3 linked regions of the Drosophila melanogaster genome follow. The main gene of each other region encodes a partner of the protein of the gene in region 2 in a complex. Each region holds a gene or a part of one and is shown on either strand. Other genes may lie near its edges.

Region 1 (3,753 bases), on a different chromosome or scaffold from region 2:
TCTGTAGTTTTATTCTTTATACAAAAATGAATTTCACAAGAAGCCGTTCCGAATACGACCTACATACATGTGCTGTCGCCATAAGTCAGTTGCCTAAATATTCTTTCGGTTTGGAGTTGGATTTGCGTGTTCGTTGAGGTTTCTTGATTGCCTGACTTGACTATGTAACTCGTTTTGTGTTATGTATGGTTATATAAATATATATTTACATATTTATATAGGTTCTGCCATTTTATATTTAACAAAGGACTCTTATTCCTGCGCAGCATCTCTAACAAGAAGAACTCTTCAACAAGCAACTATGCATTCAATAATTAGATATATGCGGGCTACATTTATAGATCCTATTCACATGAAGTCGTCATAGTCTTCGGTGAAGTCATTTCCGTACTTTTGGTAACCGTCAATGTCCTGCAAAAGAGCGGATTAAATAAGTTCATTCGTTGATCTCGAACGGCGGCGATTGAAACACTCACGTCGTTTTCGGTGCGGAGAGTGACCTTGCCCTTGCCCTTTCCAGCGGGCTTTTTAGCATTGGCCTTTTCCAGCTTCAGCTTTTCCGAGTGCAAGATTTCCACGTTCATCTTGACCTTTTTGATGTCAGCAGCGCTCACTAGATAAGGTGCGAAATCAAATCAGATAAGCCGTCTTTAATTGTCAGCCAGCTAATCACTCACGATTCACGCATAGGCTGCGCACCAGATCCTCAACAAATTGGGGGAAGTGCTCCGACTCGCGGAATTGGCCCACCTTCCAGCTGAGCGTTGCGCCAAATTCCTTGAACTCCTCCTTGGTCTCGGGGTTGAAGGCGTCAAGACCTCCGCACGTACTCGTCACACCGAACGCTTCCTGGGCATGCTTGAGATCAGAGGCCTCCTGGATTTTTTGCAATCGCAGCTTCTCAGCCAACTTTTCTGCAGGCGATAGGTTGGCCAAACGTTTTGCCTCCGCTTCCTCCTCTAGGAGCTGTTAATAACAGATGATAACAATATAGCCAATGATTGAGAAATGCTTTTGAGCCTTATCTCACCGCCTGCTGTTCCAGTTTGGCTTTTAGCGCCTTATTTGGCTTCGGTTTGGCTGGTGCTTCTGTTTTCGTAGGCTTCTCCTCGTCCTTTTTTTCCTCCTCATCCTCCCAGCTGTCCTGTGGGCAGCAAATAAACAAATGATTCGATCAGTCTGCTGCAAAAGTGCACACGTGTACAGCGAAACGAAAGTGAAACCGAGTGCAGAAAAACAAGTTTTGGCCCATGGCATTTGTTGTTGGGCACTTGGATAGTTGGTTTGAATGCGGCACTGCTTTCGATCTCACTTGGATTTCGTTAGTCGCACCTTGATGTCCTCATCCTCGTCCTCGCCCTCCCACTTGTTTACGCTGGCGGCGGCAGTCGGCCGGATGACCACCTCGCTGTCTGCTGCGGATTCTGCCAGGTAACAGAATGAGTTCCAGGAACATGGTGAATAACAATGATTTCAAACGGTTAGTTGGCACAGTGGCTAAAAATACTCATCAAGGCTGGTTGCACGGCACTCCAACAACAACAGCAATAGCAGCAGCAACAACAACAACAACGACGGAGACCACGTTTATTGTCCGCCGTGCAGATGACGCACCGCCCACTCTTCCGCCCAGGCCAATCGCAACTTACCCCAATCGTCGGCCATGTTAATGGTTGCCTATTTGCTTGCGGGATTTGTGCTTCTGGATGGGATGGTGCTGGGATCGACTTGTTTCCAGCCTCGGCAGCGATTTCAGGAATTTTCCAAAACCAAATTTCTGTGGATCTGTAGTGTGCCCAAGGCGCGACTAGCGGAAAATGCGTGGGTAACGTCGCCGATAGTCTGTTGCCATCGAATATTCGTAGTGCGGCCAAGGTGATATCAAGTTATCGACAATTTGAAATTTGTTACCCTACAATATTTCATTTTTCATTTTTTTCCTTTCTTGATTGTAAGATTGCTTATTTTATTTTCAAACACAAATTTGTCAACTTTGTTAAGAAATCTTTAAGTTTTTAAAGATTTGAGTTACCCTACAAGTTTTTTTCAAAAAAAATTCGTGATAAATCTCCCTCTTCGTGGTGTTCTAAGAAACTTACTCTTAGAGTTATAAGGAAAATTGATTCGACTCGATAAATTATATATAGTAGAGAGTATATACATACATAAGCATGTTCTTGATAAGAAGAACTAGCTGTGTCGTTATATACCTCGAACTCCCCAATTGCTGACTAAGGCTATCTTATAGTCGAGGAATTCTTTCGATTGAGAGGCTAAGTCATCCTTATTGGAGTTAGAATTGGTCTAGTTAAGATCTGGATTTGTTTGCAAAATGTGAATTATGTCAAACGTCTGCAATTCTCAATGGTTACATCTGTTTTTAACATAATCATGTTAAATGTGGCTTTTTGTCCCAAGAACGGTTTTAAAGATAATTGTGTACTTTCTTTACTTGACTGTTTTGGCGATTTTGTTAACAAAGAACAACATCCATTTCTGCATGCATAAAAAGTATCATTTTAATAACGTTAAATTAAATTGGTATTCTTACAGATTTGTATTTCATTTTACGTTCATCTTCAGCGATATCATTGATTTTCTTCTTTATCCACTCATAATATGAGGAAGTTTTCGTGTAAACCGCTGGCCCATATCCGTAACTGGAGGGTCCCCCTCCGTAGGACGTTATTCCGGCTAGGTAATAAAATTGATCAGCACCCCTGCCCACCGAAGCCATCAGCGGGCTACCGGAATCTCCCAGTCCGGTGTCGGTGCCATCCCATCCCATGGCACATATCTGGATGTCCTTATCGACGAGCAGTGTTGGATACCGATTCAAGCATTCATCCGGACTCATTCCACTGATGGTGCCTTGGCGAAGTACGGTGCTTTTTTGCTGCAGACCCGAATCGCCCCAGCCGGCAATTTGAAAAGGGAAGTTTTTGAAGGAGGAAGTTGACAATTCAATGCCAGGCCAAATGCAAATGGGTCTGATCTGAAGAGTGTATCTGAAAGAGAGGACATCGATGGGAAAATGTGAAAAGAGGGAACCCCAAAGAGCACACTACTTACTTCACCCGACTCTTCAGACGCAACAGAGCAATGTCGTTGTAGTGTCTTCCATTTCTCGTGTAGTACTGCTCGTGCGGAACCCTCAGATCCACATCGATGTCCACGTGCGCTGGAGCCCATATCTTGGCTCCATTCGGCAGCCAGGTGTAGTCGGGATCGTTCTCGGTGTCATGCTCGCCCAGGCGCACACGTGCCACGTAGAAGTCATTCACATTCAAACAATGGGCTGCCGTCAGCACATAGCGACTGGCGATCAAGGAGCCCGCACACATGGGAGACGGTCGCTGCTTTGCTGTGTAGGCTTCGTAACCCAGCAGGACTGTCCAGGGAAACTGGTTGGACTGTGCCTCCATGCCGCCTACGATATATGACGAAGGAGGACTCTGTCCGCAGACCCTGCTATCTGGTAGTTTATCCCCTGCAACCATCGGGCAGCAGGTAAAAACCATGTGCACTAGCTCGTGGGCAAAAGGATTAATGTTGCATAGTTTGTTCCGGTACTGTGATTTTTGATCGTTTGTCATGTTCCGGGGATGTAGAATCTTCATAAGAGGTTCACATTTGCTCAGTGGGATGCAAATCTCGTCTAGTCGGCAAAAATTGAATTTTGCTAAGGGGGGTAACAAAAATTGACCAATTAATGGAGCTCAAAATGGCCGAAAATAGCATTTGTAACACTGT
Region 2 (3,753 bases):
TGATCTACTGCATGCTGCGCTCCTATTCGAATGAGCTGGGCCCGTGCTCGAGGAGCATGGGTGTGGACGTCAGCAAGGCCAGGGAGTGTAAGGCATCCCGAACCACGGCAGAAATACTGGCGCCCTACGGCAAGGAAACCCTTAAACTGGGCATCTCCTTTGTGCCCACCATTGTGTTCGAGAATGTGAGTAACCAACCCAACCAGGCTTACATGATCAAATACCAGACTTAACTTAACATTACCCTCTGATCCGCAGGACTTTGATCCTTACGACCAGAGAAGCATTCGCAACAACTTCGAAAGACACTTCTGTCGGCAGTATCTGAAAAAGTTCAACATCAAACTGCCCACTTGTTCCGCAATTTTGTAAACTTTTATGTAATGTACTGAGTAATTTAACTGTTTCAATGTTCCAAGACCAATAAACAATAATTATAACCAACTGGAGTGTTTGCTTACTCGCTGACTCACTTGGGGCCAATAAAAATTTACATGTGTATAGTATATACATATCAGCTTATCAGTCATGTTTTTGTATACAGATTCTAATCAGAAACAGCTGTCTGGTGGTCTAAAAATAAGATTAAAACCCCGCTGCTCAGTAAGTTTTCCGTAGTCAGCGCATAAATGTAAAGGGGAAAATGCTGGTTGACAGCAGGGGCGTCGAATTGGTTGGCTAGTCACACCCTTTATCTATATATTTATATTAATTTTTTCAAAAGCGGATATATTACAGAAAAATTATAAAAAACAAGCGAAAAGTCACCCTACTATTGCAATACAAATAATTATTTTTTTTTTAACTTATATGATTTTTGAGCCCCCCTTGAGCATTTTCTAACCACGCCACTGGCCGCTTCGAATTTGACGAAACGCAGTGACAACGCTGCGCATTACAAGTCCCGGAATTATTTCAGTGTCGAGCGTTCGCTGGCGTTGAGCGGCCGAATATTTCAAGATCAGCTCGGGATTAAACTGAATTTGCCATGAGGGCGGCTGTCTTTGTGTGTCTGCTGCTGGGATGGGTGGGCGTGGCCACGCCAAGGGTAAGTGACCCAGTTGATCGGACTGAATCCCGAATTGCGACGCTCCCATTGATCGTGACTTTGCAGCGTTTGCGCGGACCGCAAGCTGACCGACTGGCGATCACCCTGTACTACGAAGCATTGTGTCCCTACTGCATGGAGTTCGTGACCACGCAGCTCAATCCCTCGATGGTCCGTCAGGATCGACTTCCATTCACTGATCTTACGCTGGTTCCTTATGGAAATGCCAGGGTAGGTTTCATTTTTCGTAGCTTAAACTAGTAGTTATAGTACAAGTACATAGTATAGCTCAATTTGAAGTTTTAGAGTGTCAATCAGCGTTAATCCGCACTTAAACTTCGCTTAATCCCCTCCAGACGAACGATGACGGAAATGTGGAGTGCCAGCACGGAGTGATGGAGTGCGAATTGAACGCGTGGCACGCCTGCATACTGGAGCACCATGACATTGCCCAATCCCTCAAGCTGATCGCCTGCATGATGAGGGGTAAGAAGAACAGGCTGGAAAAGTGCGCTGACCACTATCAAATCGACGTGGGCGATGTCAAAAATTGCAAGAAAACGCGACAGGTGAACGACATTCTGAGGAAGTACGGCAAGGAAACGGCCAAGGTCTCATTTCAGGGAGTGCCAGCCGTAGCTCTGGATAACGTGAGTTTAAATGCGAAAGAAATTCATGAAATCTAAAATAAAACTTTGTGATTTTAAGGTTTATAACGCGGATCTATCAGCAAACTTAACTGATCATTTTGATGCCATTTTTTGCGCCAAGTATAAGGAAAAGTTCAATAAGCAGCTAAATAATTGTCAATAAATATTGTGTTCATTTAACAATACATTTTTTTATTAAAAAATATTTTTTGCATTTTCTTTGTAATTAAATCGTAAAATCAGGTTCTGAAAAATGAATAGTTCGAATTTTTAGTTTTCCCGCCCAGCAGTGGCGCCATCTATGACAGCATGCTGCCAGACCTTTGAACATTCGCTACGATTTTAGTATTTTTCTTTGGCGGTGGTATATTTCAACGCGACAACGGTCCCACTCAACTATTTTCGCAACACGCGACGATACGAATTTTCCACATTTCTTTGTTGATTTCTGGAAAATCGCTGTATATAGACCGAATAGCCGACTGCAGACTGAGCACCAGGTAAACGCGCGAGATGAGCGAGACCATAAACACCGCGGCTCAGTTCCCGAGCTTCGAGAAGCCGACCGTGCAGTTCAATGAAAAGGGCTGGGGTCCCTGCGAGCTGCCCGATACGTTCAAGGATGTGCCGTACCAGCCGTTCAGCAAGAACGATCGTCTGGGCAAGATCTGCGACTGGACGAATACGTCGAACAACGACAAGAAGTACCAGAGTGAGTTTATTCCCCACCCGAAACCGACCCACAAAATACTAATCGCCGAAAGTGAGGTTAGGTAGGTGTGTCGTGGCATGATATTGTTGCTAACATATTGGTGGTTGGTATTCCATTCGCAGACAAGTATGCCTCCAGCTTTGGCACGGGCATTCAGTACTCGTACTACCATGAGGAGGACGAGACAACCTTCCACCTGGTGGACACGGCCCGCGTCCAGAAGCCGCCGCACCAGCGCGGCCGGTTCCGCAACATGAGGAATTCGCGTTCCGGTCGTGGCAGGAATGCCCGCGGTGGCCTTAATACTCACGGCATGACGACGCTCAGCGGCAAGAATGTAAAGGCCCGCGATCCGCGCCATGGTCGCGGCATGGGCAAGAAGTTCGGTCATCGCGGACCACCACCAAAGATGCGCGAATCTTCGGTGGCCGTCCGCGCCGATTGGGCATCCATCGAGGAGATGGACTTCCCGCGACTCATCAAGCTGTCGCTGCCCAACATCAAGGAGGGCGTCGATATTGTCACCTGCGGCACGTTGGAGTACTACGACAAGACCTACGACCGCATCAATGTGAAGAACGAGAAGCCGCTGCAGAAGATCGATCGCATCGTGCATACGGTGACCACCACAGACGATCCCGTCATCCGGCGTTTGTCTAAGACCGTCGGCAATGTCTTCGCCACGGACGCCATCCTGGCCACCATCATGTGCTCTACGCGATCGAACTATTCCTGGGATATTGTCATCGAGAAAGTTGGTATGTTAAATGAAATACGAAATATAATAATAATAAGAGAAATAAATAATAATTGTAACCTTATTTTAGGCGACAAGGTGTTCATGGACAAGCGTGACCACACCGAGTTCGATCTGTTGACCGTGAACGAGAGCAGCGTGGAACCACCGACCGACGACGACAGCTCATGCAACTCCCCTCGCAACCTGGCCATCGAGGCGACTTTCATTAACCACAACTTTAGCCAGCAGGTGCTTAAGACTGGAGACCAGGAACCCAAATACAAGTTCGAGGAAAGCAACCCTTTCATCAGCGAGGACGAAGATATCCAAGTCGCCAGCGTGGGCTACCGCTACAAGAAGTGGGAGCTGGGAAGCGATATTGTAAGTGTTGCATAATCCAACTTTAAAGTTGGAATATTTTTCTATATTATGTTAAACTATTGTCTTATACTTTTAGGTCCTGGTAGCGCGTTGCGAGCACGATGGTGTCCTGCAGACGCCAAGCGGCGAGCCGCAGTTCATGACTATCAAGGCACTCAACGAGTGGGACTCGAAGTTGGCCAATGGCGTGGAATGGCGTCAAAAGTTGGACACGCAGCGCGGT
Region 3 (3,753 bases), about 19 Mb from region 2:
ATGGAACTCACAGTGAATGGGCAGTCGAAAAGAGTTATGTTTTTTAGCTCCCTTAGGGGCTTTACATATTACATATTAGAATTTTTAAAACTCTCCCAACCAGCCTTCGTTCAGTGAAGGGCAAGCGGGACCTTCCTCTTAAAATTGATACAGTTTGTCAAGAAACTGTTTACACACTGTGAAATAAGTTGAATTTTTGACTTTAAAGCTAAAAATTAAAGGTTTTTTGCTTAATTAAACGCATTTTTTTTATAAAATATAATTAAACAATATTTATTTTACTTATAAATCAAAAAACAAATTAAAAATATTAAATATACAAGAAAAAAAACAACAAATTCCAAGTTTAAACACTTTTGAGACTGTCAAGAAACTCTTTACACAAAACACTAAATCGATGTTTAATCCTAAATTTTTAAATTATTTTATTAAAATTTTAAAAGTTTTGGTATGTAGTATGTTCCCCATTGGCTTTAGCTACAAGTTGAAGCCCTTTTTTCATGGAATGGACAAGTTTTTGCAGGTCATATTCAAACGGGATCTTTTCACACTCTTCGACTATTACAGTCATAAGCTGTTGTCGTGTTTTAGGTCCCTTTTTGCCACCTTCTTCTTTAAGTAGGTCCACAAATTTTAAATGGGGTTCAGATCAGGACTCTGAGGGGGCGTATCGATCACTTTACCACAGTTATAAGGGCGCCAGGTGCGTACATTGCACTCTTTATGTTTCTGATCATGTCCTCTTAAAATATAAAATTTGGCTTGTTGTTGCTAACTAGACCAAATTTTTCTGCACCGGCCTTCAAATTTGTTTTTTAAGATTCCTAGATATTGCACGGCATTTATTGTGCTCTAAATTAAGGCTAGTTTTCCCACTCCATGGCTGGTGATACAGCCACAAACCATCAGTGACATTTTTCCAAATTTTATCGTTGGAATGATATTTTGTTTTTCTAGCGCACTCAGCGGTTTGCGCCATACTCTGCTTGGCCCGTCGTTATAAAAGAGCATAATTTTTGTTTCGTCACCAAATATGACGTCATCCCAGTACTCTTCTGGATGATCCACCTTGTTCACAGCGAATTAATGACGCTTTTCCATATTGGCATCTGATAGCAAAGGATTTTTCCTCGCAACTCTTGAAGAGTATCTATGGCGTAGGATGACTTGGCGCACAGTTTCGTGTGACACAGTTAGGTGACACTCTTGCCTGATATCCAGAGCAAGTGATCTGACCGGGGGTTCGCAATCTCTATTCGCATAATAAAGCGGTCTACACGCTTTTTAATTTTAATTTTCCGCCCACCACCACTCTTAGGTTCAAGCCTGTCCTCTTTTTCCGAGCCTTTTAAAAAATAGTAGACGGTCTTACGGGATACAGAAAACATTTATACTTATTCTGGAAAAGATTTTCCCAACTGGTGGTTATAGTTTATTAATTGGGTAACTTCAAAGTTTATCTCTTTCCAGGCATTTTATTAAATTTAATAATTCGCTTTAAGCACGTTTGATCAGCAAAATTTCACAAGCAAGATTGAGTAGTAGAATGTAACCGACATTTTGTTATTGATCCGTTATGTTAAGAATGAGCAGCGAGCAATGAAATTCACGGAAAGCGTTCCGTTATTGAGTGGGCATCATTTGTGTGGCTGTTGTTGTTGTTGTATAGTTTCTGGAAACGAAGTAAGGATGAAATAATTGAGTGAAGGTGAGGAATAGAAGAAAAGCATCGCGAAGGCGACGCTTGAGTAAATTAGTCTGCTTAGAACGACAGAAGAAACAACACGCAGGCGACTTGATGTGCTGGACAATATGGACGCTGAAGTAAATGAAAAGTCGCGCTTGGCATCTCCGACATATTCAAATTTGAATAGTATTTGATTAACTAACGCTAGCCACCGGTTTTACATCGATAAAACGATAGGCCACGCACGACCGCACCGATAGCTCCAAAAGCCATCAACCCCCACCCGCACTATCGATAGGCCCTTTTCTTGCATCCCTAAAACATACGCGCAGCGTGGCTGAATAGAAATTATTGCGGAAATTTTCCTTGCAAATCTTGGCCACCGAAAATTACCATGTCGGCTCTCAATCTGACCGTGCGCGTGCACCCGGTGGTGCTTTTCCAGGTGGTGGACGCCTTCGAGCGGCGGAACGCGGACTCGCACCGCGTCATCGGCACCCTGCTCGGCTCTGTGGACAAAGGTGTGGTGGAGGTTACCAACTGTTTCTGTGTGCCGCACAAGGAGCACGATGACCAGGTGGAGGCAGAGCTGAGCTACGCCCTGGACATGTACGACCTCAACCGCAAGGTGAACTCCAACGAGAGCGTGGTAGGCTGGTGGGCCACCGGCAACGACGTTACCAACCACAGCTCGGTGATCCACGAGTATTACGCCCGCGAATGCAACAACCCGGTTCACCTCACCGTGGACACTTCGCTGCAGGGCGGACGTATGGGTCTGCGTGCTTATGTCTGCATTCAACTAGGAGTTCCCGGCGGCAAGAGCGGCTGCATGTTCACGCCCATTCCTGTCGAGCTGACCAGCTACGAGCCGGAGACATTTGGGCTCAAGCTGCTTCAGAAGACCGTAGGCGTTTCGCCCGCTCACCGTCCCAAGACCGTTCCGCCAATGCTGGACCTGGCCCAAATCTCGGAGGCCTCCACGAAGCTGCAGTCCCTGCTGGATCTTATTCTCAAGTACGTTGACGACGTGATCGCTCACAAGGTAACCCCCGACAACGCCGTCGGACGCCAGCTGCTAGACCTTATCCACTCCGTGCCGCACATGACCCACGAGCAGTTCACTCAGATGTTCAACGCCAACGTACGCAACCTTCTGCTGGTCATCACGCTCTCCCAGCTCATCAAAACCCAGCTGCAGCTTAACGAAAAGCTCACCTTCCTGCCCACCGCCTAGAACGACGGCGTTTGTTGAAGTGGTAATATCTACTAAGGGTGGCATTGTAAACTGATTGTGTTTTTTATCAATGGGGGTCTACGTAATAAAGTGCTCTGATCGCCAAAAAAAAAAACCAAAACTTGTATCGATTACTCTGGTCAGAATGACATTCCATACTAAAGAAAATATATATGGGATTATCTTTTTTATAACTCAATTGAAGAATCAGCATGAATCCTGTGACACCTACACTAAACGACCATGTGGCGTTTGTAGGAGCATTCGAATCTACTGAAGACTCTTAAACACAACAGTATTCATCACCAGGAACAAAATAAATGCATGTGCAACTGAAAATTTAGCACCCAACTGCTAAAACAAAATGTTGTGTTTCAGTCTTTGGTGAGCTTCACTATTCTATAGGGTTTCAGGGAGTCGCATCGGTGCTGGGTTTATTGTAAGAATAGTAATATTTATATTCTTTAATATCAAACTTTGATGATCGTACCTTCGGCACACAAAAGTTATAATATCAAATTTTGTGACGAAATATGACAACACATTCTATTAAAAACTAGTTTCTTACATTTTATAACCAGCACCTCGTTGCATCATATGCGTTACTTAACTTTCAATTGTTTGGTAGCACCAGGATAAACTTGAGCTACGCCTACACTTTTCTGTGCAATCTGCATCCTTAATCTTCTAGCATTTATAGTTCATGAGATCTTGACGTTCATGCGGACAAACATGGCCAGATCGACTGCGCTGATTCTTGATCCTGGTGAAGAATAAAAGGTACTCTAAAGAGCATAAAAAAACACACTTTTCATATGAAAGAAGGACA

Evidence for each region.
Region 1: eIF3d1 (region 2) and eIF3j share a complex: the UniProt entries of both Drosophila melanogaster proteins name them as parts of the eukaryotic translation initiation factor 3 (eIF-3) complex.
Region 3: eIF3d1 (region 2) and eIF3f1 share a complex: the UniProt entries of both Drosophila melanogaster proteins name them as parts of the eukaryotic translation initiation factor 3 (eIF-3) complex.

Annotation. Positions count from the first base shown.
Region 1 is NT_033778.4:9,967,132-9,970,884, reverse strand, and holds the start of eIF3j (eukaryotic translation initiation factor 3 subunit j), read right to left. Parts: upstream 1,957-3,753; 5' UTR 1,666-1,956; coding exon 1,650-1,665; intron 1,425-1,649; coding exon 1,333-1,424; intron 1,145-1,332; coding exon 1,031-1,144; intron 967-1,030; coding exon 678-966; intron 614-677; coding exon 477-613; intron 412-476; coding exon 349-411; 3' UTR 1-348. Other genes in the region: CG12133 (uncharacterized protein), read right to left, coding at 2,534-3,008, 3,073-3,620. UniProt on the Drosophila melanogaster protein: Component of the eukaryotic translation initiation factor 3 (eIF-3) complex, which is involved in protein synthesis of a specialized repertoire of mRNAs and, together with other initiation factors, stimulates binding of mRNA and methionyl-tRNAi to the 40S ribosome.
Region 2 is NT_033777.3:23,677,980-23,681,732, forward strand, and holds the start of eIF3d1 (eukaryotic translation initiation factor 3 subunit d1), read left to right. Parts: upstream 1-2,059; 5' UTR 2,060-2,211; coding exon 2,212-2,410; intron 2,411-2,532; coding exon 2,533-3,168; intron 3,169-3,237; coding exon 3,238-3,530; intron 3,531-3,606; coding exon 3,607-3,753. Other genes in the region: GILT3 (Gamma-interferon-inducible lysosomal thiol reductase 3), read left to right, coding at 1-185, 259-372; GILT2 (Gamma-interferon-inducible lysosomal thiol reductase 2), read left to right, coding at 989-1,048, 1,115-1,279, 1,405-1,698, 1,757-1,861. UniProt on the Drosophila melanogaster protein: mRNA cap-binding component of the eukaryotic translation initiation factor 3 (eIF-3) complex, which is involved in protein synthesis of a specialized repertoire of mRNAs and, together with other initiation factors, stimulates binding of mRNA and methionyl-tRNAi to the 40S ribosome.
Region 3 is NT_033777.3:4,712,414-4,716,166, reverse strand, and holds eIF3f1 (eukaryotic translation initiation factor 3 subunit f1), read left to right. Parts: upstream 1-1,984; 5' UTR 1,985-2,081; coding exon 2,082-2,924; 3' UTR 2,925-3,285; downstream 3,286-3,753. UniProt on the Drosophila melanogaster protein: Component of the eukaryotic translation initiation factor 3 (eIF-3) complex, which is involved in protein synthesis of a specialized repertoire of mRNAs and, together with other initiation factors, stimulates binding of mRNA and methionyl-tRNAi to the 40S ribosome.